Saccharomyces cerevisiae S288C: one gene and its partners. The gene in region 1 interacts genetically with each later gene. Each region holds a gene or a part of one and is shown on either strand. Other genes may lie near its edges.

Region 1 (8,804 bases):
ACTGCGTAATCCGTGACGATAGGGTCAATACTAGAAGCAGCTTTTCTCACTTGCGAACCGATGCTTGCCATTTCAAAAAAGTTATTTACCTTTTGTGCTATGAATCGAAGTTAACGTTTTAGCGCTTCAAAACGACTAGTCTTAGCTAGCTTACTGCAGAATATATATTTCTCTTTTCAAATGTCTTTCATTTTCTACTAGATCTAATAATACGAAAAATTTTCAGGAACAAAAAAATAAAAATCAGAAAAAAAAGAAACTGCGCAAGCCCGGAATCGAACCGGGGGCCCAACGATGGCAACGTTGGATTTTACCACTAAACCACTTGCGCTTGTTTTCTTGTGAAAACTATCCTTGGATAAATCAATAATAATGTTTGTAACTTCTCTAACCAATTTGAGATGTAACGAATGATAATTAGTGTGTTGGAATAAAAATCCACTATCGTCTATCAACTAATAGTTATATTATCAATATATTATCATATACGGTGTAAAGATGATGACATAAGTTATGAGAAGCTGTCATCGAAGTTAGAGGAAGCTGAAGTGCAAGGATTGATAATGCAATAGGATAATGAAACATATAAAACGGAATGAGGAATAATCGTAATATTAGTATGTAGAAATATAGATTCCATTTCGAGGATTCCTATATCATCGAGGAGAACTTCTAGTATATCCTGTATACATAATATTATGGCCTTTATCAACAATGGAATCCCAACAATTATCTCAAAATTCGCCAAATAGTCAAGTATTATAGCCTTGATCAATAATGGGATCCAATAATTATTAAACTATTCACCCAATCTTCACAGATCTTCTAGTCAACGAGGGAAAATCCATATTTCTAAATAGTATTATTTATCCTTGCACTTCAACTTCCATTGAAGCTGATGATTGTTTCTTAATTTTCATGTTATCTTCTGGCAGCGTATATGAGATTATACTAATTATATGAAAATATATTAATAGTATAGATACTAATCGGTAAACGATAATCGACTCTCATCACAACAAAATGCTTTTGCAAATATTGAGGAAATTATATATGTTTATTAAACATATATATCCTGTGTATTTATAGAGGCTTTCCTCCAACATTTTATTATTTTTGGCAAATAATACAGTAGCTTAGGATATCTTACGCACGCAACTGCAGGAAAAGAACGTCAAGACATTCTGTGAGTTGTTTTCCCGCAAAATGTTCCACCGTCGTTACTTTTTCAATTTCATAAACATATATCAGAATGGAAAAAGCCTTCATAAATGAGCTTCGAATTTTTGCGCAATCTCGAATATAAGAAGCATGTATATTTGTCATCTTGCTTTCATTGGAAGCAAAAGGGCAAAGTTTCAATCTTGTGCATGTAACCTCAGTAGTAATCTATAAGTGTGAGATATATCTGTCAATTTTTGCAGACCATTAACATTTTCCAAATACATCTTGAACTCTTCATCTTCGAGGGGAATTGTCTCCGTCTGGAATTTCTGCCTAATCAATTTGATAGTCTCTTTATGATGCATTAGAATGTTTCCTCTTAATTGGGCGACAATGTAATTTAAAGAGTCTTCGGAGTAAGACAATAAATCCATGGATTCAAGGGTTACCTGCTTGGATTCCTGTAAACTTTTCCGGAGCATTGAATTTTGGCGCTTCAACACTCCTAGCATAACGTCATCTTTCGCATTTTCATCCAGATTGTTGCTTAGTTGCTCTTTCTCAGTAATAGGAGCTTTCCCTCTTTGTTCTAGAAATCTATTAAATAATGCAATATTTTCCGTGGTATCGTGAGGTTCTTCAGATGTCTCATACTTGTTTAAGCTTCCGGATAATATGTCTATGTTCCTTAGTATTTTCGCCTTTTCTGCTTGATTTTCCCTCAACTGTTTCACTAGCTTGTTAACTAACAAGTACATATGATTCAAGTTTTCTGCTTGAGGAGACATATATACTTGCTGCTGCTGCTGCTGCTGCTGTTGTTGTTGTTGCATTGACAAAACGTTGATTTGGTCACTCATATCTAAACCTTGGCTTGAACTTCTTGTAGAATCAATATGTATTACTTCCCATATATGTCGTAATAAAGGGCACCTCTGCAGAGTTCATAAAGAATGCCGTTTTTGCTTGCGCGCCTTAATTATCTGTATTCAGTTCGATTTTACAAAAATATATACAAGGTTCCGCCTAACCTTCTAGTCGTTGCGGATATGGACGATATTATCTACCTTAATTAAATGATTATCTATATCCCTGCCATTCAACAAATCATTGCTGCGAAACTTCTCTCGTCCTTCTGCAATAGTCGTGACTAACCCTGATTGCAAATGCCTTTTGGCCACCCTTTCTTCGGTGGCCTCATAGTCTATGTCAATCTTATAAACAAGAAGTGCTCCCGTATCAGCTAATGTTTTGTAAATTTTCTTCCAGTTTTCTTGGTCATACAGTAGGTATAACCCTTCAAGTATAACTATCCTTGTAAATTTGGAAATACAGTACTGATCTGGAGTTGGGTCTTTTAGTGCATGGTTAAATCCTGGAACAAAGATATCAGGAATTGTTTGGCTAAAAGTTTTGGATAACTTCTCAAAAACGCTTGAAGTGGAGTAAAATTTATGATGTGAGGAGACCTTACATAGGGACGTCTTGGCTAGAATTTTACACAATTGTAAGAAATTGTTACTGTCAAACGTTGAGGGCGAACCTCTTCTTTTATGGGCAGTTTGTGGGTCTTTGAATAGGTCTAGACATCTGCGAGATAAGTGAAAACCATCCATTGGGACTATTTGCGCTATATTGATACTATCCTGGGCCAACTTGTTAACATTGACTGGATTATCAACTGCTGCGATTCTTATGGCATTCGCAGTACCACCTCTGGCAACTACTGCGGTACATTCTTCATTATTTGATGTAAGGGCTGAGTACTTGACTGGTTGAAAATTAACATCCTCAACATGATCTTTAAACAGCCCCTGATTTTCAATCATTTCAGCTACTTTATTGGGCTGGAGCGTCTTTAAAGAGTCTACTAGGTTAACCATAGGTTTCAACCTATCATTAACCTCAATAACATTTGGATGCTCTGACAAAAATGTGTGATATTTTTCATTTATAATTTGACAAAGTTCTTCCGCAATAGTAGACTTACCGGAGCCTGGAGAACCGACTAGGATAACACAAACCCTATAATTATCTTCGATACGGTTATCCAATAGCTGAAGAACGTCGTCTGCTAGTTTATGCGTATCGACCATTGTGGCTAGAATGATCCTCTGGTATGATACAGGATAAAATATGTATAGTACTAGTGAAATTAACCTAACAAGGTTACTTCATTTTTCCCGAAGAGCAATACTTGATGATGCTTAAAGGTACGCATTTAATGAACGAAAAATAACACAGTTCGTTTGAGTAAAAAGAAAGCTCACAAAATTTAATACAGAAAAAAAATTATATGTAAACTGTGGACAAGTCTGATAAGCCCAGATAACCCTTCTATTTCACGAAGGTGCAAGTGCGATTGAAAAGAATTGTTTCATGGCATTAGCTATCAGGACACGAATGCATAATCGTCAAGATATTATCGGTATGCAGCAGTTGAAGTTGTTATTAATGTTATAAGGCACCATCATATGTGGCTTTGGGATGATCTTCCGCCGATTGGTGTTCATATTACAAAAATTTTATCACGCTCGAGGTTAGAAGATGGCATCAATTATGAGGCATGAATAACAAGGTTTAAGCACTAGTAATCATAGCGGATGCTGAAACGCCAAGGTTAATGAGTTCATAAGATTAACGAATAACGAGAACTTAGGTATGAGTCAAAATTTTACTTTCATAATAGATTTATCGAAAATGTGATCAATTTTCTGAATAATTTGATAACTGTTGGGATTGCATTGTTGATCAAGACCATAATATTATGTACACAGAATATGCTAGAAGTCTCCTCGAGGATGTAGGAATCCTCAAAATGGAATCGGTAGTTCTACATAATAATATTACGATTATTCCCCATTCCGTTTTATATGTTTCATTATGCTATTACATTATCAATCTTGCATTTCAGCTTCCATTAGGGTTGATAACTGTTTCTCAACTTTTATGTCATCTTCCTGAACCGCATATGATAATATGCCAATAACATGAATATTACCAAATGGATGGCATTTCAAATTATTACTTTAACAAAAAGGAACCAAATAACTCATATAATAATTACCTATTTCTCAAATAGGTGGACGACGGTTTATCCAATTCCAACAATAATAGTAATTACTAATATTATGTAGATTTTTCGATCCAAGTCCTCGAGGGCGACTCATAGGAATGCTATCTTCAATCAACAATGACATCCGAATAATTATCTCAAGTTTTACAACATTCTCAAATATTATGGTAAAAAGAAAACTTTGCAATCTGCAAAATTCTCGAATTCTGAATCGCTAGATTTCCTTATGAGAAAAGTCACATTTAAAGGTGTTAGCAGCTAGTTATTATAGTCCTATAGTTCCTGTAACAATGAATTTTTCATAAATAGAAGCGGATTTAGCTCAGTTGGGAGAGCGCCAGACTGAAGAAAAAACTTCGGTCAAGTTATCTGGAGGTCCTGTGTTCGATCCACAGAATTCGCATTCATTTTTTGCTCTTCGGGGTTGGTCCTTAATTTTTTCAGTGCCATTCCTTATATTTCCAAATCTAGTTAAATGGTGAATCCAAGATTATAAAAAAAATATACAATTCTGTGTACAAAAGAATATACTAAACTTCTAGAAGCGAGTAAAAAAAAGTTAATACCTAAACGATTACGTGGAAACCTGAACGGGGTTTCTTCAAACCTTTTTGAACGATTTTTTCAATTTCATCAGGGTCAGAAGTAATACCAGTTAAGTTCTCGTAACCATCTTTGGTAACAAGGATATCATCTTCAATTCTAACACCACCGACATACATGTATCTTTTCAATACGCTCATATCGACAACTTCCAATCTTTCGGGGTGCTTTTCCAAAAATTCTTTGATCAAAAATTGATTAAAGTAGCAACCTGGTTCATTAGTGATAACCATATTTTCTTTCAAAGGACGGCGGATTCTTAAATATCTAAACATTGGATCTGGGTCGTCATAGTTTGGATTACCACCAACGTCGTGTACATCAAGCCCCAACATATGCCCTAGTCCATGGGGATAAAAAGCGCAAGAAGCTCTTCTTTTAAAGATTTCGTCCTCAGAAAACTCTTTCTTGAAAATACCCATACTTAAGAAATGTTTAATAAGAACCTTGTGTGTCAGTGCATGTAAATCGTCCCATTTAGCACCAGGTTTAATCCTTTCCATTGCTTGGTTTTGCATGTCAAGAACGGTTTCGTAAACTTCACGATGTTCCGCAGTAAACTTGCCTGAAGTTGGGAAACATCTGGTGATATCACTTGTATATTGTCTCCATTCTGCACCTGCATCAATTAAGATGGAATGTTTACCTTTGATATCTTCTGAATTCTTGACGTAATGTAAAGTGCCACATGCCGGTCCAGAACAACAAATGGGGTCATAGCCCAAAGAACGACCACCTTGACGGGTTGCATGGTATTCAAATTCAGCTTGTATTTGTAACTCGTTCAGTTCGATGGGCAACGCGGACATAACGGCCAAATGGCTCTTGTCTGAAATCTGACAAGCTTTTCTGATGCTTTCAATTTCATACCAATCCTTAATTGCTCTAGTTTCATCCATAGCATAAAAGAAGTTAGGGTCTGAAGGAATTAGTGATCTTGCAATATTCTCGTCATGAACATTGTCCAAATCGGTTGTAAAGATAGCGAAGTCTTGCAATTCTTTAAATTTTTTCCCCAGATCAGATATGTACAAGGCCTCATCAATGTCAAACACTCTCATTGCCTCATCCAAACTCAAAGGCATACCGCTCCATATGACATCTTCTTCATCGATGTTTGGCAAAAACAATGTCAGCTTATCTGTGCTACAGTTAAACAATATCGCCGAAGCAGGTATATCAACACCTGACAAATGATAAAAATATCTATTCTGTCTAAAATCTTTGTTGGTGTCACAATACTTGTTTCCCTCTAATTCTTCACCAGCAATAAAAAATGCTGTGGATATCTTTGATAGCTTCGGATTGCGATTTAACAACAAATCTTTAACCCTCAAGTTATGTTCTTTCGCAGGATACTTATGATTTCTTATCTTGACCGGAATTTCATTTACGTTTGCTACCTCGCCCATTTCTTCCCCTTTTTCTTTACTGTAATAATACTTATCTTTGTACTCTGGCTGTAAAATTCCTCTTGTTCTTTGCCGTTCTCCACGTTTGAAATACTTCACCAAGCCAAAGAAAAACACCAGGGATCCGAAAACAACAAGAGAGATTGGTTCAAGGCACATCACTCCAACAACAGATCAGGTATATACCTATATTTCCCAGGTTTTCCTACAGCTCGACCTGGAAAAAAGATGACACAGTTTCTGAAGAATCGCCGTAGCGGAAAGTGTCAATTGAACCTCCCTCGCGTATAGTAAGCAATGCCAAAAAAAAAAAAAAAACTGGAAAATCTTGATAAAAAAATGACGAAATAGGAAAAAAAATTGGCAGCAATCTAACCATGCTCTTCATGGTTCATCATTTAGTGGGCGTTAACCTAAAGCGCTGTTTATAATGGAGGTTGATAACAAAAGGAGACATTCAGAAGATGAGTTAAAACAGGAGGCAGTAAAAAAGATAAAGTCTCAGGAACCAAACTATGCCTATCTTGAGACTGTAGTAAGAGAAAAACTAGATTTCGATTCTGAGAAAATTTGCTGCATTACTCTGTCCCCTTTGAATGTATATTGTTGCCTCGTGTGTGGACATTATTATCAGGGGAGACATGAAAAGAGTCCTGCTTTCATACATTCAATTGATGAAAACCATCACGTCTTCTTGAATTTGACAAGTTTGAAGTTTTACATGTTGCCGCAAAATGTCCAAATTTTACATGACGGTGAGGTTCAATTGTTGAACAGCATAAAATTTGCAGCTTATCCGACTTATTGTCCAAAAGATCTAGAAGATTTTCCGAGACAGTGTTTTGATTTGAGCAATCGCACATATCTGAATGGATTTATAGGGTTCACCAATGCGGCAACTTATGACTATGCGCATAGTGTATTGCTTTTGATATCGCACATGGTTCCAGTGCGGGACCACTTCCTACTGAATCATTTTGATAATCAAGGGGAATTTATCAAAAGGTTATCCATATGTGTAAAGAAAATTTGGTCCCCTAAACTATTCAAACATCATCTTTCAGTTGACGATTTTGTATCCTATTTGAAAGTTAGAGAAGGTTTAAATTTAAATCCTATAGACCCGCGTCTCTTCCTTTTGTGGCTATTCAATAAAATTTGCTCGTCCTCGAACGACTTAAAGTCAATTTTAAACCATTCTTGTAAAGGCAAAGTAAAGATAGCAAAAGTTGAAAATAAGCCTGAGGCCAGTGAGTCTGTTACAGGAAAAGTCATTGTCAAACCATTTTGGGTTCTGACTCTCGATTTGCCGGAGTTTTCACCCTTTGAAGATGGCAACAGCGTTGATGATCTCCCACAAATAAATATCACTAAATTATTGACTAAATTTACTAAGTCAAGAAGCTCCTCTACTAGCACCGTTTTTGAACTAACGCGATTACCGCAGTTTTTAATATTTCATTTCAATAGGTTTGACCGTAACAGTGATCATCCTGTCAAAAATAGAAACCAAACGTTGGTGGAATTTTCCAGTGAACTTGAAATTTTGCACGTCAAGTATCGCTTAAAAGCAAATGTGGTCCATGTGGTCATTAAACAACCATCCACAGATGGAAACGCATTTAATGGTGATGAAAAAAGCCATTGGATTACTCAGCTGTATGATAACAAAAGTGAAAAATGGATAGAAATAGATGGCATAAATACGACAGAGAGAGAAGCCGAGCTTTTATTTTTGAAGGAAACGTTTATACAAGTATGGGAAAAGCAAGAGTGAAAGAAAAGAAAGTAAAAAAAAAAATTGGCACTGGGACTACCAGTAGCCATTTCATTTTTACTGTTATTTAAGGAGCCTTTTCCCTCCTAACGCGTTTTCTCTTTCCCATTCATTCCATTAACTACTTCATTAGAATTTTTAGAAAAATACAATATAATATATATGTAGTGGGCTTTCTAGTTATTTAATGCATAATGACTTTATAAAATTTGTTTATTTAATTGCCACTGAATTAACACCCGCCGTCAGCACAGAAACAATATTGTTCTCTAGTGTCTCATCTGCTGTTTCGGAAAGGTGCTTCTTTGGATCTTGCCTACCAACGTATCTTGTCTTAAGTTCTTCTTCGGTTAATTCCTTTTCCTCTTCTATTCTCTTAGAGTACTGTTCGGCTATCTTAACCATACTCTTTGTAGCAGCCAAATTTGATTCTTCTTTTTCTTCATAATCGTACATCTTAAGACCTGATTGCCACTGTTCTTTATGTAAGTTCATTAACATCTTGGTTTCCTTCGCGGTTTTATGATAATCAATATTTAAAGAATAGTAATGCCTATTCAGACCGTGAATTAAGGCTTGAATGTTGGCCTTGTTCAATAAGCCTGTGTTGGAGGTTGTTTGTCTAGGCTCTAAGTTATTTATCAATGCGCCCGTGTCAATCAATCTAAAAGCATCGATGACAACTTTTCCCTTAACGGATTGAATAGGGTCAACAACGACAGCAACAGCTCTGCTGTTTAGTTGTTCAAAAGATTTTTGAGTATTAACATCA
Region 2 (7,883 bases), on another chromosome or scaffold:
CTGATATGCTTACTCAGAGGTCCATTACTTCAAGAATTGTCTCACCTATCGGGCTTGGCGTTTGTACAAGAAGAAACTTTCATCACCTTTGTTTCGCCACCAAATGAAAAAAAAAACTTGCATGGCTTAGGTGGTTCTTTGTCAGAAATATCTTCTAAGGATCAAGAGTCTTACGTGATTCTAATCCCTTGGCAAGTCAGATCTCAAATATGCTCACTCGCAGATGAGTAGCAATGAATGCGACCAAGTGACTAGTGACTGGTGACGACATGAGCCAAGCTGGAACCAGCAGCTTTCACGTCGGCTTATAGCTCTCTATGGGGCAATCAACCACTCATAGTGACTGAAGATCTTTTTAATATAATTACATTGCTAAAAACGTCATACCGCCTTGTGAGCACGATAAACAGCATATGCATTGAGCCTTGTTATTCTTCGGAACTGGGGATAGTAAAATGCGACCCGCTTAGGATGATCAAGCTATCTTTGGGACGGAGTTTTGTCATGGGAGTGGTCATCCTACTGGTGATGCTTCAACATTTGATTTACTAAATTTTGAAATCGGCCGCAGAATAAAACTATTATGTCCAAACAATTGATGGTCGAACCAACGTTAAGGGTTTCAAGTATTGAATTGAACTTTTATGAGTTCTATAATTTCGTTGCGCAAATTCAACTAAACCACCAATATCCCCCCTACAACGCTACACTTTATACCGATAGAGGAATAACGCATAGAGCCTTCGTAGAATTCTTCAACTCGTACGTGATGGGGATTCTAAACCTATCGTCATGTCGCTGTACAAGGCTGCTGCCTGCTTTCAAATTCCCAATTTTACCATGTCCGTTTCGCTGAGCCGAATCGTCACACAAGGTAATTAGTTCTGGGTATCGCTTCAGTATAGCACTGGTTTTTTCCTTGTAAAACCACAGTCTAACAATTAAATGAAGCTTTTCGAAGAAATTAGACCATGTTAGACTGAAAGCAAAGACTCCGGCCCGTTCTGAGGTAAGTTCAATGAAATTGGACAGTTTCTTTTCAAGGTTAGGTTTTGTGTTCGAAAAAAATAGATTACCGCACCTCCTTTCCAAACCCCATGAGTTTCCATTAAGGAAGAGCAACGTCAATAATACCACCTTTTGCAGATGTGATTCAACTCAAGATGCTGTAATCTTTCCCTTCTGACCCTAGATCACCTCATGATATCCTTTTGAGGCAATTAAAGCTGCAGTGTAAACTGTTGAATATCTTTTTGAAACCAAAAAAAAGGACGTTCCACACTTGGCTGCTTTCTTGATAAGCGAGATCTTTACTTGGAGATCTCGCTTAGTCCTCCGAAGGGTAAACCCCGTCTCTTATCTTTAAAAAAATGTATCAGACCCTTCAGCACGTGACAGACAGCAAACTACCAGTCGACGAGGATGCTTTTCCGAAAGTCATGACACAAGGGAAGGACTGTAAGATCGATATCGGCGCAGTCTTATCGGATGTTCCAAGTCCTTGTCTCTTTCATTATCTGCTTGCTATCGCAAAAAAAAAAAAATCAATTTGTTTAATATCAACACATAATGTACAAGAACAAATCATGACATACAAAAGCCATATAAGATGAGTCTTCAAGCAGCACCAAGAGGCCTGAGGCAGAGCAAATGTTGGCTCGCTATTCTTTTGTAAGCAATCTGGTACTCACCAACCTCCAACTATGAGATCTTTAAATACCCTTTTACTTTCTCTCTTTGTCGCAATGTCCAGTGGTGCTCCACTACTAAAAATTCGTGAAGAGAAGAATTCTTCTTTGCCATCAATCAAAATTTTTGGTACCGGCGGTACTATCGCTTCCAAGGGTTCGACAAGTGCAACAACGGCGGGTTATAGCGTGGGATTAACCGTAAATGATTTAATAGAAGCCGTCCCATCTTTAGCTGAGAAGGCAAATCTGGACTATCTTCAAGTGTCTAACGTTGGTTCAAATTCTTTAAACTATACGCATCTGATCCCATTGTATCACGGTATCTCCGAGGCACTAGCCTCTGATGACTACGCTGGTGCGGTTGTCACTCATGGGACCGACACTATGGAGGAGACAGCTTTCTTCTTAGATTTGACCATAAATTCAGAGAAGCCAGTATGTATCGCAGGCGCTATGCGTCCAGCCACTGCCACGTCTGCTGATGGCCCAATGAATTTATATCAAGCAGTGTCTATTGCTGCTTCTGAGAAATCACTGGGTCGTGGCACGATGATCACTCTAAACGATCGTATTGCCTCTGGGTTTTGGACAACGAAAATGAATGCCAACTCTTTAGATACATTCAGAGCGGATGAACAGGGATATTTAGGTTACTTTTCAAATGATGACGTGGAGTTTTACTACCCACCAGTCAAGCCAAATGGATGGCAATTTTTTGACATTTCCAACCTCACAGACCCTTCGGAAATTCCAGAAGTCATTATTCTGTACTCCTATCAAGGCTTGAATCCTGAGCTAATAGTAAAGGCCGTCAAGGACCTGGGCGCAAAAGGTATCGTGTTGGCGGGTTCTGGAGCTGGTTCCTGGACTGCTACGGGTAGTATTGTAAACGAACAACTTTATGAAGAGTATGGTATACCAATTGTTCACAGCAGAAGAACAGCAGATGGTACAGTTCCTCCAGATGATGCCCCAGAGTACGCCATTGGATCTGGCTACCTAAACCCTCAAAAATCGCGTATTTTGCTACAATTATGTTTGTACTCCGGCTACGGCATGGATCAGATTAGGTCTGTTTTTTCTGGCGTCTACGGTGGTTAAAGCCTGATCAGTGACTTTTCATCACACTGTGTTTTTATATAGTTCTTAGTAGTAAATATACTCTATAATTTCTACATCCTTTTCATGATGTGCCAGTTAAGCTATTTTTAGCAAACAAAAAGATGAATTTGAGTATTGAGCACATCATTCACTGTTCAGCTGATACAAAACATATGATTTCTAATATTCACATAGGAAAAATCGCTCCAAACATCGAAGTATCATCGCTACTTTGGTCTTTTATCTGCTTCTCTTCTCTTCGCTCTTTTCACTGCTCGTGCCGCTGCAACGCTCCAACTCAGTTCTATCTCAGCTCCTTCCCCTTATCCCTTGAGCAGTGTCAAGGCGAGGCTGCGTGATGTATTCGTGCGCGAAAAAAAAAACAACTGCAGCACCTGAGTTTCGCGTATGGTCACCCACTACACTACTCGGTCAGGCTCTTACCAGCTTAACTACAGTTGATCGGACGGGAAACGGTGCTTTCTGGTAGATATGGCCGCAACCGAAATAGTTAGGTGTGGCAGCCGTACATATGGAAGCCGGGCGATGGCTCCGCCACGTGCAAAGTGCAGGAGCTTTGGAAAGAGCGTGCATATAGTGATGAAAACAGAGAGCACGGTTGCGAACGGAGGGTCTCACAATGTCTCAAAGGATAAATCTCTTGGTTTGCGGGCCGCATACAAGATATGATTGTAGTTTTTTCAATGGCTCTACTGTCCCACTGCTGTACAACAGAAAATGAGAGATCAGAGAAATAGTATTCCGGAAGCCAGTGGTGTTTACTTATTAGTTTTTTGACGCCACTGCGCGAGTTGCTGCCTAGCTGTTCCTTGGCCAACGCATATTGGAACTTCATTCGACTGATATGCTTACTCAGAGGTCCATTACTTCAAGAATTGTCTCACCTATCGGGCTTGGCGTTTGTACAAGAAGAAACTTTCATCACCTTTGTTTCGCCACCAAATGAAAAAAAAAACTTGCATGGCTTAGGTGGTTCTTTGTCAGAAATATCTTCTAAGGATCAAGAGTCTTACGTGATTCTAATCCCTTGGCAAGTCAGATCTCAAATATGCTCACTCGCAGATGAGTAGCAATGAATGCGACCAAGTGACTAGTGACTGGTGACGACATGAGCCAAGCTGGAACCAGCAGCTTTCACGTCGGCTTATAGCTCTCTATGGGGCAATCAACCACTCATAGTGACTGAAGATCTTTTTAATATAATTACATTGCTAAAAACGTCATACCGCCTTGTGAGCACGATAAACAGCATATGCATTGAGCCTTGTTATTCTTCGGAACTGGGGATAGTAAAATGCGACCCGCTTAGGATGATCAAGCTATCTTTGGGACGGAGTTTTGTCATGGGAGTGGTCATCCTACTGGTGATGCTTCAACATTTGATTTACTAAATTTTGAAATCGGCCGCAGAATAAAACTATTATGTCCAAACAATTGATGGTCGAACCAACGTTAAGGGTTTCAAGTATTGAATTGAACTTTTATGAGTTCTATAATTTCGTTGCGCAAATTCAACTAAACCACCAATATCCCCCCTACAACGCTACACTTTATACCGATAGAGGAATAACGCATAGAGCCTTCGTAGAATTCTTCAACTCGTACGTGATGGGGATTCTAAACCTATCGTCATGTCGCTGTACAAGGCTGCTGCCTGCTTTCAAATTCCCAATTTTACCATGTCCGTTTCGCTGAGCCGAATCGTCACACAAGGTAATTAGTTCTGGGTATCGCTTCAGTATAGCACTGGTTTTTTCCTTGTAAAACCACAGTCTAACAATTAAATGAAGCTTTTCGAAGAAATTAGACCATGTTAGACTGAAAGCAAAGACTCCGGCCCGTTCTGAGGTAAGTTCAATGAAATTGGACAGTTTCTTTTCAAGGTTAGGTTTTGTGTTCGAAAAAAATAGATTACCGCACCTCCTTTCCAAACCCCATGAGTTTCCATTAAGGAAGAGCAACGTCAATAATACCACCTTTTGCAGATGTGATTCAACTCAAGATGCTGTAATCTTTCCCTTCTGACCCTAGATCACCTCATGATATCCTTTTGAGGCAATTAAAGCTGCAGTGTAAACTGTTGAATATCTTTTTGAAACCAAAAAAAAGGACGTTCCACACTTGGCTGCTTTCTTGATAAGCGAGATCTTTACTTGGAGATCTCGCTTAGTCCTCCGAAGGGTAAACCCCGTCTCTTATCTTTAAAAAAATGTATCAGACCCTTCAGCACGTGACAGACAGCAAACTACCAGTCGACGAGGATGCTTTTCCGAAAGTCATGACACAAGGGAAGGACTGTAAGATCGATATCGGCGCAGTCTTATCGGATGTTCCAAGTCCTTGTCTCTTTCATTATCTGCTTGCTATCGCAAAAAAAAAAAAATCAATTTGTTTAATATCAACACATAATGTACAAGAACAAATCATGACATACAAAAGCCATATAAGATGAGTCTTCAAGCAGCACCAAGAGGCCTGAGGCAGAGCAAATGTTGGCTCGCTATTCTTTTGTAAGCAATCTGGTACTCACCAACCTCCAACTATGAGATCTTTAAATACCCTTTTACTTTCTCTCTTTGTCGCAATGTCCAGTGGTGCTCCACTACTAAAAATTCGTGAAGAGAAGAATTCTTCTTTGCCATCAATCAAAATTTTTGGTACCGGCGGTACTATCGCTTCCAAGGGTTCGACAAGTGCAACAACGGCGGGTTATAGCGTGGGATTAACCGTAAATGATTTAATAGAAGCCGTCCCATCTTTAGCTGAGAAGGCAAATCTGGACTATCTTCAAGTGTCTAACGTTGGTTCAAATTCTTTAAACTATACGCATCTGATCCCATTGTATCACGGTATCTCCGAGGCACTAGCCTCTGATGACTACGCTGGTGCGGTTGTCACTCATGGGACCGACACTATGGAGGAGACAGCTTTCTTCTTAGATTTGACCATAAATTCAGAGAAGCCAGTATGTATCGCAGGCGCTATGCGTCCAGCCACTGCCACGTCTGCTGATGGCCCAATGAATTTATATCAAGCAGTGTCTATTGCTGCTTCTGAGAAATCACTGGGTCGTGGCACGATGATCACTCTAAACGATCGTATTGCCTCTGGGTTTTGGACAACGAAAATGAATGCCAACTCTTTAGATACATTCAGAGCGGATGAACAGGGATATTTAGGTTACTTTTCAAATGATGACGTGGAGTTTTACTACCCACCAGTCAAGCCAAATGGATGGCAATTTTTTGACATTTCCAACCTCACAGACCCTTCGGAAATTCCAGAAGTCATTATTCTGTACTCCTATCAAGGCTTGAATCCTGAGCTAATAGTAAAGGCCGTCAAGGACCTGGGCGCAAAAGGTATCGTGTTGGCGGGTTCTGGAGCTGGTTCCTGGACTGCTACGGGTAGTATTGTAAACGAACAACTTTATGAAGAGTATGGTATACCAATTGTTCACAGCAGAAGAACAGCAGATGGTACAGTTCCTCCAGATGATGCCCCAGAGTACGCCATTGGATCTGGCTACCTAAACCCTCAAAAATCGCGTATTTTGCTACAATTATGTTTGTACTCCGGCTACGGCATGGATCAGATTAGGTCTGTTTTTTCTGGCGTCTACGGTGGTTAAAGCCTGATCAGTGACTTTTCATCACACTGTGTTTTTATATAGTTCTTAGTAGTAAATATACTCTATAATTTCTACATCCTTTTCATGATGTGCCAGTTAAGCTATTTTTAGCAAACAAAAAGATGAATTTGAGTATTGAGCACATCATTCACTGTTCAGCTGATACAAAACATATGATTTCTAATATTCACATAGGAAAAATCGCTCCAAACATCGAAGTATCATCGCTACTTTGGTCTTTTATCTGCTTCTCTTCTCTTCGCTCTTTTCACTGCTCGTGCCGCTGCAACGCTCCAACTCAGTTCTATCTCAGCTCCTTCCCCTTATCCCTTGAGCAGTGTCAAGGCGAGGCTGCGTGATGTATTCGTGCGCGAAAAAAAAAACAACTGCAGCACCTGAGTTTCGCGTATGGTCACCCACTACACTACTCGGTCAGGCTCTTACCAGCTTAACTACAGTTGATCGGACGGGAAACGGTGCTTTCTGGTAGATATGGCCGCAACCGAAATAGTTAGGTGTGGCAGCCGTACATATGGAAGCCGGGCGATGGCTCCGCCACGTGCAAAGTGCAGGAGCTTTGGAAAGAGCGTGCATATAGTGATGAAAACAGAGAGCACGGTTGCGAACGGAGGGTCTCACAATGTCTCAAAGTGTTGGAATAGAAATCAACTATCATCTACTAACTAGTATTTACATTACTAGTATATTATCATATACGGTGTTAGAAGATGACGCAAATGATGAGAAATAGTCATCTAAATTAGTGGAAGCTGAAACGCAAGGATTGATAATGTAATAGGATCAATGAATATAAACATATAAAACGGAATGAGGAATAATCGTAATATTAGTATGTAGAAATATAGATTCCATTTTGAGGATTCCTATATCCTCGAGGAGAACTTCTAGTATATTCTGTATACCTAATATTATAGCCTTTATCAACAATGGAATCCCAACAATTATCTCAACATTCACCCATTTCTCATGGTAGCGCCTGTGCTTCGGTTACTTCTAAGGAAGTCCACACAAATCAAGATCCGTTAGACGTTTCAGCTTCCAAAACAGAAGAATGTGAGAAGGCTTCCACTAAGGCTAACTCTCAACAGACAACAACACCTGCTTCATCAGCTGTTCCAGAGAACCCCCATCATGCCTCTCCTCAACCTGCTTCAGTACCACCTCCACAGAATGGGCCGTACCCACAGCAGTGCATGATGACCCAAAACCAAGCCAATCCATCTGGTTGGTCATTTTACGGACACCCATCTATGATTCCGTATACACCTTATCAAATGTCGCCTATGTACTTTCCACCTGGGCCACAATCACAGTTTCCGCAGTATCCATCATCAGTTGGAACGCCTCTGAGCACTCCATCACCTGAGTCAGGTAATACATTTACTGATTCATCCTCAGCGGACTCTGATATGACATCC
Region 3 (8,092 bases), on another chromosome or scaffold:
ACGTCTGTAGAAACACTTTTAGCGTATAGCACAGAACATTATGATGGCCCCCAATCTTCACTATCAAAGTTCATAAACACAGCTATCCATGACGTTTTTTACTGCGCCTTAGGATGCTATGCTCTTTCATTCTTCTTTGGAATATTCACTTCGAGTAAGAAAACAACAATATCAGCCAAAAAGCAACAATGAACAATTTTCCAACGTATAAATTAACTTATCGTAGTTCGATAAAACTAGACAGTACTTATATATTATCTAACATCAGATGGTTTGTCTTTCATTATTTATTTAGTGATTAATGCTAGCTTTAAGCAAGCTTAGTTGCCTCAAGAAAGATTAATATTAAGCTACTGAGGATATAGCATTCGAATATAAAGATATAATCAAAGCTCATAATTACAAAATACCCTGTGATTAGGATATCATTATTACTAACAACACCGTTCCTAAACTAGCAGAAAGTTGACCAACTGTATAAAAATTAAATTTGTTCGTAAATACATATACATAAAATCCGCATTAAATGTGGACTTTCAGTTGAGCAAGTGTTAATGAATATCGTAGGATAGCAAATGAAGATTCGAATTTGATGAGGTCTCTTGTTCCGAGAACTATTGTTTAAGCCAAACCAGATTCAGTGTCTGTACTAAACAGTTGTCACAGAAAGGTGGTAGCTTTACTTTCCGTACATTAAATACAGAAAAATTACCACTTCTGTTGAAAATACTGTTTTGTGGGTTGGGATAATATAATCGTATATAATATCAATAAAACTGTTAATAAACTCTCGAGGATCTGATGTTGATTTTTCCCGTCATTCCACAAACTCTGATGCCTGAAAAGGTGAAATATAAAAAGCGGGACATTGATAATCCTTGGATTATTCCATCTCCAATATTGGAACAATAGAGATCGTGAGTCTTGAACTATAGCTAGTAAAGGCATTTTCTTTTTGCCGCCCTTTCAGTGTTACTTTCTTTCAACTAGTTTATCGATACTTTTCGGGCTTACAGCTCCTATGTGGATATGTGAATACTCATGCTGACACTGAAGGATTATTGGTATTGGCCGGTTGTGTTTTTTCTATACATAGCAATAGTTCAAATGTCAATGACCAAAAGAATAGGAATTTTTTTAAAATACAAGGCTGATGAAGTATCAGTTACTAGATGACCACTCTTATAAAAAAACTCAGAAATCTTCCAAACATTGTCTGCTCAAAGAGGTACCTATTCGTTTTCTGTGCAACTTCATCAATTTCTCAAAAAAATCTCATTGATGTTCTCTTAATGGATTGCCCCCCTGAGTTGTACGCTGGACCCATTGACTTTGACTGGTAGTGTCAGAACAATCTTGAATGATTAAAAATTGGTAGGTCCCCTTGTTTTTTGTTTTGTATCCATCCAATGGTATGATTCTTTATATTTTATTAAACTTATACTCGGGAAATCTTAAAAGAGCTGCTTTGACGAACGCTTATAAGTACATACAGAAATTGGAAATCATTATCGCTTATGTTCTGTGACCTACTAATTGCATTCTTCCTTACGTAAAAAGACCTGAAACTAACCAATAAACTGCCATGGATACGTCCATACGAAGGACGATAAATCAATTTGTAATAGTCCAAAAAAATTCCATCAAATATCAGCTCCAAATTGGCAACTGTTTAACTTGCGTTGCCCGATTACTTGATATCCCTTATTGTGAACATCATGACAAAACGAAATGAGAAAAGACCTTTCCTTTCCATTAATCATTAGTAATTAAAAATTTCTTAACTTCTTTTCGATCAATTACAATATATGTATACTTGCGTGCACATTGCAATTTTACTTAACCATGCATAGCAGAGGCTCTTCTACTTTACTATAATATGTTTACAACAAAGTTATAAAAAGTTTTCTCAAACCTTTTCCATGGTGAATGGATAACTAAGGGTTCCAATCAATGTTATGAAGAATTCCAAGTTAATCGACGAAAAGCGTTTGGAAAGGAATTATATAAACGTAAACATGAAAAATATTCATCGAATACTCCACATCGATCGTATTACAGTGTTTTAGTAAATGTTTGTATTTGAATCAAAGTTTCAGCATTTGTTCTACACTGATAAAATCATGGTTCTAGTATAGTGAAACATACGCCCAAGTTATCCTAGTACAAGACCGCCATATTGTGCTCATAATCGGGAACAATGAAAATAACACCCTAACAATTGCTGAAACTTGTCGTACGCGATCCCTAATTACATTATCAAGCATTCAGCATTGGTCAATACCTCAATACCTCGACAAGAAAAAAGAAATAGACACGTGTATGTCAAGGCATTAAGAAGGGTATCAGGCCTAGTGCTCGCCTCTTGCCTTCCCAATTTGTTGAACATCTTTGACATATAATTTGATTTTGAAATAGTTATTGGACTTCCATTTTAAATAAAGGCTCTATCATTAACTATACAGAATATACTAGTAACGTGAATACTAGTCGATAGACGATAAATTAATACTTTTTCCAATAAAATCTAAACGCATGCAAGTACATAAATAGGCGAAGGTATCTGACCGTAATAATCTTCACGCCATCTATATAAATAAATGAAAAATTCGGCTTTTAACTTATATATTAACAATAAGAAAGACAATGTTGCGCTGTGCTTACAGGAAGAATATTATAATTTTGACGAAAAGACCTTAATGAAATGCTTGAGGCTAATTAAAATATCAAAATTAGAACACGTAGCACTTTTCTTAAGTTCTGTTCCCAAAATTTCAAGGTCAAATGTGTTAACCTTTGGATGCACTTTCATAAAACTCCAAATATCCATCGCACTTAATAGGACGTCCCCTCCAAAAGCATCCACTGTATAATACTGTCTTGGATGGAAACCCTGCCTAATCACCATGCTCGCTGCCGCTGTTTCTATTGCATTAGTGTTTTCAGTAATGAAATTATTTGGCTCCTTTATTTCAGTCCCACTAAACTCCAAAAAGGTACTATCAAGTTCCCCATTAAAGTCACCAAACGTATGAATCTCACTCATTGCATCATTTAGAAAAGAATAGCCTGGTATGTCATTTGAGAGATTCGTACAGCCTATGGGATAGAAGGACCGATCAAAGGAATTCAACGGTGACGGCACTGTACAATTCTTTCCAACACACACTGAGAGCAGTTGCTTGAAAAATACGTAGCATTGTTGTATTTCAAGGGAATTATATGTGGAGGAAAGAACCACACTACCATCGAGAGTGTTACATGTGGGCGGTTTTTCTTCACAACAGGCCTTACTAATGTTCCGTTCATCAGAAGGCATGTTCCTCTCAGTCAAAAGACTCCTCAACATAAAATGGAGAAGTTCATTTTCCTTCTTTAATATGTGAATTTGATCATTTGTTACCGTTAGCTGAGCTTCTTTCTTCTCTAGTTCTTCTAATCTTTCCAACTTTCGTTTTCTAAATGCGTTTTGGGATGCTCTAAGTTGCGCAGCTCTCTTATTTTTAGGTGGAGTAAGTGAAGGCTTCCTGCCGCCTTTTCTTCCACGCGGTTTTGCCATTATCTTGGTCACTTATCTTCCGTTTTGACATGTTTTTTCAACGGCCGCTCCTTAAAGACCATCCGCATGCTAGAATTATATACTAATATGATTTTGTAAAGATAGGAATATTATAATTATAATTATATTTAATTTAATAAGAAAAGAAACGAAAAAAAAAAAAAAAATGGAATTAAAAAGTTTTGCCGTACATAAAATATTGAAAAGACTTTTACATTAATGCTGGAACAATAAAGCTTGAGGAGCTCAACCACTAACAATCAATTTAAGGTTACTCTCTCTACAATGGGTCTCCCAAGCGTAAAAACCTCCAACGAGGATGCAACTCTCAAACTTACTTGTAATATCTTCTTCTTGTAAGTAGGTTTCGAATTTAGCAGCTACTTTTGGTCCCCTATTCTTGGACCCAGTACAATGAAATATCACTTTGACGAATTGAGAACTTGAGAAAGTATCGGATAAACCTTTAATTAATTGATTCAGTTGCTTCTCTGTAATCTGTGCTGTTACTGGAACATGCCAAGCGTTTGTAATATGATCACGTGCAAAATCTTCTCTTCGAAGATCAACAACTTGAAAATCCTTCCTCTGATTTTCAATTAGGCCCTTGAGTTGCCTAGACGTTATGAAACTTACCATTACGCTTGCTGGATTGTCAAGTTTTCCTCAATATTAGTTTGTTATACATTAGTTTTTATACCGACTTTTCAAAAGTGTTGATTTAAAATCAAATTTTGAATGCTCTTAATTATCTTTTTGTTTGATTAATAATCAACTTTAGCGGCAACGCTCCTTACATAATTATAATGTAAACGGAAAAGAATATAAATGAATGCTCTCGTTGTAATTCAAGAGAACCCAACCAACAAATCATCAGGTTAGTAGAATAATGTCAGAAGATCAAAAAAGTGAAAATTCGGTACCTTCTAAGGTTAATATGGTGAATCGCACCGATATACTGACTACGATCAAGTCATTGTCATGGCTTGACTTGATGTTGCCATTTACTATAATTCTCTCCATAATCATTGCAGTAATAATTTCTGTCTATGTGCCTTCTTCCCGTCACACTTTTGACGCTGAAGGTCATCCCAATCTAATGGGAGTGTCCATTCCTTTGACTGTTGGTATGATTGTAATGATGATTCCCCCGATCTGCAAAGTTTCCTGGGAGTCTATTCACAAGTACTTCTACAGGAGCTATATAAGGAAGCAACTAGCCCTCTCGTTATTTTTGAATTGGGTCATCGGTCCTTTGTTGATGACAGCATTGGCGTGGATGGCGCTATTCGATTATAAGGAATACCGTCAAGGCATTATTATGATCGGAGTAGCTAGATGCATTGCCATGGTGCTAATTTGGAATCAGATTGCTGGAGGAGACAATGATCTCTGCGTCGTGCTTGTTATTACAAACTCGCTTTTACAGATGGTATTATATGCACCATTGCAGATATTTTACTGTTATGTTATTTCTCATGACCACCTGAATACTTCAAATAGGGTATTATTCGAAGAGGTTGCAAAGTCTGTCGGAGTTTTTCTCGGCATACCACTGGGAATTGGCATTATCATACGTTTGGGAAGTCTTACCATAGCTGGTAAAAGTAATTATGAAAAATACATTTTGAGATTTATTTCTCCATGGGCAATGATCGGATTTCATTACACTTTATTTGTTATTTTTATTAGTAGAGGTTATCAATTTATCCACGAAATTGGTTCTGCAATATTGTGCTTTGTCCCATTGGTGCTTTACTTCTTTATTGCATGGTTTTTGACCTTCGCATTAATGAGGTACTTATCAATATCTAGGAGTGATACACAAAGAGAATGTAGCTGTGACCAAGAACTACTTTTAAAGAGGGTCTGGGGAAGAAAGTCTTGTGAAGCTAGCTTTTCTATTACGATGACGCAATGTTTCACTATGGCTTCAAATAATTTTGAACTATCCCTGGCAATTGCTATTTCCTTATATGGTAACAATAGCAAGCAAGCAATAGCTGCAACATTTGGGCCGTTGCTAGAAGTTCCAATTTTATTGATTTTGGCAATAGTCGCGAGGATCCTTAAACCATATTATATATGGAACAATAGAAATTAATTGTTGACTCACCAAAAAATTACTTGGGCACCAATGAATAATACCACTTATAACTCTATATTAATCCAAGTTCACCCTAAAAACAGATAAAATTGACAATTTTTTTTGAAGGACAACTGATTGATCTTAGTGATGGTTAGGATGAAAAAATGGGTTTGTTCACGCCATCCCGCATCATTCAAAAACTCCGCACAGTTTTGGAGTTCAGTAAGAAGGGGACGTAATCTTACTATTGCATTTTTGAAAGTCTAATGAACTCAAGTGGCAAACTGTGTTACGTACATCACTTCTAAATACAATGTCTTTGAATTAGAAACTCGCTGAAAAATTATTATTGCGTATTGTATGTCATTTTTGAGATTTTCCTGCAAGATTAGTAATGCTTTAAACCCAAGTATTGTAAGCCCGATGGAATAGCACATGGTGATGGTACAACAATGGCTTCATAGATCATTCGCATAAAAATGGAATTCGTGCATCTAGTGTCTAATTAAAATTAACGTAACGAAATAGGACAAGATAAGCTTATGTCGTAGTACCCGCATAAGTACGTGTAGCTGCCATTTTATAATGCATGAAGTTGAAGTCATTAGGATGAAGAGGTGACATATAATGTTTCAAAATGGTGCCAGTATAAGTTTGGGATATCATGGAGCGGCATTCGTTTTAGTAAATGACTGTATTGTATAGTACTGTCTGTATGATTATCAGTTGAGTTGGTGAGATGAAGTAAAGATATTATAGCATCTGCGTTAATGTGTATTGCTATTATAGTATAGCATAGTGGTGTTATATAGTGGCACCGGGAATGAGTATAGGGAGTAAGAAGATCTTGTAGTTGCGTTTGAATAGCGACATGAGGACACGTCTTATGTCGCCATTATTAGGCTGAAATTGCAAGCATAAACTATTCGATATCAAAGATACCACAAGACCATGTATGCATAATTATAGAATACCAAGGTGGGGAGAGATTAAAAACGCACCATAGCAGCTGCGCGAGTATATTCTGCTATTAAATTGGAATTCACTGAAAGGTGATGAGAATGCAAATAGCTATGATACCTTATAGTGGTTAATTTGTATGAAAACGTTATAAAGCATGAAGTTGAGAGTATTGATATGATAATGGAGGTTCTGTGATCAATTTTAGAAAATTAAAATGTGGATGATCATGAATGTTATGGGTAAATGGCACAAGTAATAGACAATTTAATGAATAGGGTGTTATGTTTACGATATTTCAATTATGTTAATATTTAGTATGTTTATATCTTCTCATTAATGAATGGTTAATTTTTATGTTTAGGTGATTTTGGTGGTGATTTTGTGGTTATATTGACATAAGTGTGTATAAATTGAGTGGTTAGTATATGGTGCAGTTATACAATATTTGGAACCGCAAAATGAGATGTAGATATTAAAATGTGGATAATCATGGGCTTTATGGGTGAATGGCACAGGGTATAGACCGCTGAGGCAAGTGCCGTGCATAATGATGTGAGTGCATCTAGTACTGATTTAGTGAGAATGGGGCCATGGTGTGGAATATGAAAGTAGGGTAAGTTTGAGATGGTATATACTGTAGCATCCGTGTGCGTATGACATATCAGTAGAAGTGAAGGTGAGTGTGGCAAGTGGCGGTGGTGGTAGTGGTGGTATAGAGTGGTAGGCTCCTTTACTTCGAAGCGTGAGGTCGTATACCTAATAAGGAAATGTAATTTATAACTTTTTATTATATTGGTCTTTTCGAGAGCGGAAGAAGTTGTAGGCTAAGCGCAGGCTAAGCGTAGGTCCATGTTTAAAGTATCCAAGAGAATATCCACGAAGCGGCTGAGCAACGAACAGAATCCTGGTTCTCCTCGACTAAGCAGATAGTTAAGATACTGTGCACCATGGAAATTGAAAACGAACGTACGTACCGACTACTTTATTTTTGCAGGCCGGAAATCAAGCGATGAATGAGACATCCTTCTGTTTTCTATGTTGTGCTTGAAGGGGACAGACAGTCGCTTATCTTAGTGAGATTGCTTACTAACTGAATTTACTTTGCTGCTGCTAGAGATTTGCACCTGCATAGCGCAGATTCTGCATCTTCTCAATAGCTTAATTATTACATTCTCAGATGATGATAAGACGGAAACTGGACAATCTTTTGTTTATATTGATGGATTTCTTGTCAAAAAGCATAACAATCAACATACTATTGTTAATTTCGAAACTTACAAAAATAAAATGAAAGTTTCCGATAGGCGTAAGTTTGAAAAAGCAAACTTTGACGAGTTTGAGTCGGCTCTAAATAACAAAAACGACTTGGTACATTGTCCCTCAATAACTTTATTTGAATCGATCCCCACGGAAGTGCGGTCATTCTACGAAGACGAAAAGTCTGGCCTAATCAAAGTGGTAAAATTCAGAACTGGTGCAAT
Region 4 (4,117 bases), on another chromosome or scaffold:
CATATTTTTTTCTTTTTTTCTGATCCAAAGTTTTGTAAAACTTTAAAAGAGTTATATAAGCAAGTATTATTATCGTTGGAGGAAGAAAATTTGACCTTCCTTCAACTTTTGATTTTTTATTTTTTTGTTTCCAAGGATTAAAGTGTTCTTTGAGTACTAATCGTTCATCATTTTATTTTATTTTTGGCGCCTTAAAAATGGAACAAGGCAGACGCCGAAAAATACAAAAACAAAAGTCGAAATAAAAAGGGAAACTTCTATTGAAGGTGACATAGAGGCATTGACGCTCTTGCTATATGAACGTCGTTTATCATACCAGTATAAAAATCTAAATTAACTATTTAATAGCTGTACTCATACTGTCTCGGATTACCCTCTTACTGTTATCGTTAGTTGTGGTACACAATTCAGCAAGCTAAACAGCCAATTACTAAAAGTCATGTTTATTTTTTCTGCAGCTTTACACTTTGAGGCTCGCCACCTTCTAAATCGTGCTTAACTTATCTCAGGCTTGCTGTGACTTTCTTATTTGAAGCAAAAACAGCAAAAATGAGAGATAATGCATAAAATCCTAATGCCATGTAAAAGACGTCAGTGAGAGATTCAGAAATTATATTGCCCAATTTGGAATGAGAGCCATCGAAATTGGTCTGCCTATAGATTACCAGATTGTCTACCGTGGTACCATCTGGGAGCTGAATATTAGCCTTGGTTAATTTCTTGATAGCAGCAGCACTGAAAACAGTGTTAGAGATGACACCTCCCAGTGCTTGACCTAGATTTTTGCAAAATGTGTTAAAAGTGGTAATAGAGACAAAATCTGATCGAAAAGTTGGGCTCTTCTTGTCTAACTGAATTTGAGAAGCGAGCATGGAACTTTGTGCCAAACCACCGAAAGCAACGCCAGGTAATATCAAAAGGCCGATGTGAGCAGAGTTATTGGCATTATTGTTCAATAGGGTTAATATACCCGCACCAACAACACCAAAAATGCTTGAAATAACAATAATCGGTTTGATTTGGCGGGTTTTGTCGGTGATAGCACCGCAAAGTATTGCTGTAACGACTGTAGAAATAATGCAAGCAACCAGGTGTACAGCGGCTCTCCAGGCGGAATCATTGTAAATTAATTGGAAGTATTGCACAATATACGTAAACTGACTGATATATCCTGCACAAGTGAGAAACAAGGCTATATTAACCGTGAAAATACCTGGTTTCTTGATATTTGTCCATGACATTAATGGTTGGTAATGTGGTGTTGCTTTCACTATATTAAATTTGGGGAAGACAAGGAAATCATAGATACCTGCTAACACTACCAGGACTATACCGATGATGAAAAGAATAATGATGGATGCAGAGTTCCAAGCATACCGGTTACCGCCAAATGTGAAAGCCAATAGAATACATGTGAATCCAGCTGAACAAAACACAAACTCGATAATATCATACATGAAAATCAATTCCATGAACGGCTTTCTCCACCCATTAAGTTTGCTAAACCCTTTGATTTTCAATAAATGATATGCTACATTCCGAACAATTTCGATAAACTGTGATGGAAATTTGCGGATGTTATCCATTGTCTCTTGAAATGTACTTAAACCTGGGTTATAAAAGAACAGGAATAAGAAAAATGCTAGGCCACCGATCGGTAAATTAACATAGAAGCACCATCTCCATGTGACGCTGGAGGTGAAAACTCCTCCAAGGAAAGGCCCAACAACAGATGCAATAGCAAACGAACAACTCAAAACAGCAATTAGTATGCCTCTCTGCGACTCCTCTACCAGGGTTGAACCAATGACGAACGATAAACTTTGAATACCACAACCGCCGACTCCAGCAATAACTCTACCACCAATGAGCATACTCATTGAATTTGCTAAAGCAGAGATCAGCGACCCGATTTCAAAAATGACAATAGCAAATAGCATGGTCTCCTTGAATCCGATAGGTGTGGCAATTCTTCCCCATATCAACGCCAACAGAGCGTTTGGTAAGCTATACCCGGTAAATAACCACCCGATCTCAGAGTACGATCCAAACTGTTTAGCTACTTCTTCAATGATTGTAGAAACTATCATGATATCCAAGGCTGCCAGAAACAGCGACAAAGCCAATGCTATCAAAGATGCGTACAAGATAAACCCTTTAGGTAGTTCATTACTTTCGCTGGCGTTGTCCTCGAGCACCACGCTCACGTTTTGTTTTGATGTTGACTGCGTAGAATTTCGTCTCACAACATATTGTTTTTGCTGTTTCTCGTTCTGTTGTTGTGCTTTCTCACCGTAGTATGAGAGGTCGCTCATGCTGTAAGTCTTAGGTTCGCCTTTCATTGGGCTGCAATTTAGATACTAATGTAGACGTGGTGTTACTACAATTGTAGAAGAAAAGATACAAGATTTAAAGGACGTTGCAAGAGGGTACGGAAACTCTAGCATTATATATAATCAATTGATACAGTGCCGATTCTTTGATATAAGACATTTTTCTTTAAATTAATGTAGTGGTTCTGCTTGACACTTTTTATTGTATTTCCAGCCATAGCATATAGAAGCGCGGAAATACAGCGGATATCCGCTAGTTGGCGGAAATAATGCAAATTGGTAAGATCCTATGGTAACAGTGCAAGAAAGGGGCCTGAGTTAAAAAGAGAAAATGAGCCTATCCTAATGATGATAGCCAGGTTCATATTAACGTTGTTTACCTTTGTGTTCAAGATCAGGGGCTTTTGGCAGTATCTGAGCGAAATGAAATAAAGAAATTGATAATCACGTGATCACGGCTTTCTGGCTTGTAAAGCCGGTTATATTTATTTACCTTAGTAATACGTACTGCGGGGGCTATTGTTAAAGGGAAGAGAAACCAGAAGATCTGGAAAGGCAGCGATTATTAGAGGACAACTATAAGCATACATAACTAGCAGATGGATGTTCGTCGACCTATAAGGGAGGCAGTCAACAACAGGAGGAAACCAAAATTTTTGAGCGTTTCGTTTAACCAAGATGATTCGTGTTTCAGCGTGGCGTTAGAGAATGGATTTCGTATTTTCAATACAGATCCATTGACTAGTAAGCTATCGAAAACATTTAAAGAGTCTGCGACCAACCAATCCAGGGGCACTGGGATTGGCTATACCAGGATGCTTTATCGTACGAATTACATCGCACTAGTCGGAGGTGGTAAACGACCAAGGCATGCTCTAAATAAACTGATCATCTGGGATGATCTTTTGCAAAAGGAAACGATTACTTTGAAGTTTATGTCTTCCATTAAAGACGTGTTTTTATCTAGGATTCATATTGTGGTAGTCCTGGAGAACACAATAGAGATCTTCCAATTTCAAACCAATCCTCAAAGAATTTGTCCTATTTTGGATATCCCTCCCAATGGATCAGTGGACTATGTCGTTTGTAGCAGCAAACATCTCCAGTCGCAAGCATCGCAGTCACAGTCTAAAATCTTAGAAATCATTGCATTCCCATCGAATAAATGCGTAGGCCAAATTCAAGTAGCCGACCTATCACAAATAAAATATAATTCACAAAACCCGAAGGAATCAGCGCTTTTGCCCACTTCCATCATTAAAGCACATAAAAATCCCATCAAACTGGTTAGACTGAACCGTCAAGGCACCATGGTAGCAACATGTTCCGTCCAGGGTACACTTATAAGAATCTTCAGTACGCATAACGGTACTTTAATCAAAGAATTTAGAAGAGGGGTGGACAAGGCGGATATTTACGAGATGAGTTTCAGCCCCAATGGTAGTAAGTTGGCCGTATTGTCAAATAAGCAAACATTGCATATTTTCCAAATTTTTGAAACAACCAATACAGAAACGAATACACCAGACCACTCTCGTGCCAATGGTTCGAGCCATCCCTTGAAAAATTATATACCGAAGGGCCTATGGAGGCCCAAGTATTTGGACTCTGTGTGGTCGATATGCAATGCTCACTTAAAGAACCCAATCTTTGACGCTCACAGAAATGACAACAGTGGTGATGTAACTCACGATAACGAGTTCTATAAAGACAGATGTAGAATTGGCTGGTGTCAAGACTCTAATAATAGAGAACAAGACGATTCGTTGGTTCTGGTGTGGCAA

The links.
Region 2: mutations in YFH7 (region 1) and YLR159W together harm fitness more than expected from each alone (negative genetic interaction), as found in Saccharomyces cerevisiae (one large-scale study listed by BioGRID).
Region 3: mutations in YFH7 (region 1) and ARR2 together harm fitness more than expected from each alone (negative genetic interaction), as found in Saccharomyces cerevisiae (one large-scale study listed by BioGRID).
Region 4: mutations in YFH7 (region 1) and AZR1 together harm fitness more than expected from each alone (negative genetic interaction), as found in Saccharomyces cerevisiae (one large-scale study listed by BioGRID).

The regions. Positions count from the first base shown.
Region 1 is NC_001138.5:153,755-162,558, reverse strand, and holds YFH7 (Yfh7p), read right to left. Parts: upstream 3,261-8,804; coding exon 2,199-3,260; downstream 1-2,198. Other genes in the region: putative AAA family ATPase GCN20, read right to left, coding at 1-71; FAR7 (Far7p), read right to left, coding at 1,359-2,024; YFR006W (putative Xaa-Pro dipeptidase), read right to left, coding at 4,807-6,414; mRNA splicing protein SAD1, read left to right, coding at 6,686-8,032; proteasome regulatory particle lid subunit RPN11, read right to left, coding at 8,246-8,804. UniProt on the Saccharomyces cerevisiae protein: ATP-dependent kinase that could be involved in endoplasmic reticulum membrane assembly.
Region 2 is NC_001144.5:481,110-488,992, reverse strand, and holds YLR159W (uncharacterized protein), read right to left. Parts: upstream 3,649-7,883; coding exon 3,304-3,648; downstream 1-3,303. Other genes in the region: asparaginase ASP3-4, read left to right, coding at 1,704-2,792; YLR159C-A (uncharacterized protein), read left to right, coding at 3,151-3,282; asparaginase ASP3-3, read left to right, coding at 5,356-6,444; YLR157C-C (uncharacterized protein), read left to right, coding at 6,803-6,934; YLR157W-E (uncharacterized protein), read right to left, coding at 6,956-7,120; YLR157C-A (gag protein), read left to right, coding at 7,392-7,883.
Region 3 is NC_001148.4:935,474-943,565, forward strand, and holds ARR2 (Arr2p), read right to left. Parts: upstream 4,199-8,092; coding exon 3,806-4,198; downstream 1-3,805. Other genes in the region: SGE1 (Sge1p), read left to right, coding at 1-192; ARR1 (Arr1p), read right to left, coding at 2,675-3,559; ARR3 (Arr3p), read left to right, coding at 4,449-5,663; YPR202W (uncharacterized protein), read left to right, coding at 7,559-7,577, 7,726-8,092. UniProt on the Saccharomyces cerevisiae protein: Involved in resistance to arsenic compounds.
Region 4 is NC_001139.9:941,031-945,147, reverse strand, and holds AZR1 (azole transporter), read right to left. Parts: upstream 2,343-4,117; coding exon 501-2,342; downstream 1-500. Other genes in the region: AMA1 (Ama1p), read right to left, coding at 1-3; phosphatidylinositol-3,5-bisphosphate binding protein HSV2, read left to right, coding at 2,933-4,117. UniProt on the Saccharomyces cerevisiae protein: Transporter protein required for adaptation to high stress imposed by low-chain organic acids, in particular by acetic acid, and for resistance to azoles, especially to ketoconazole and fluconazole.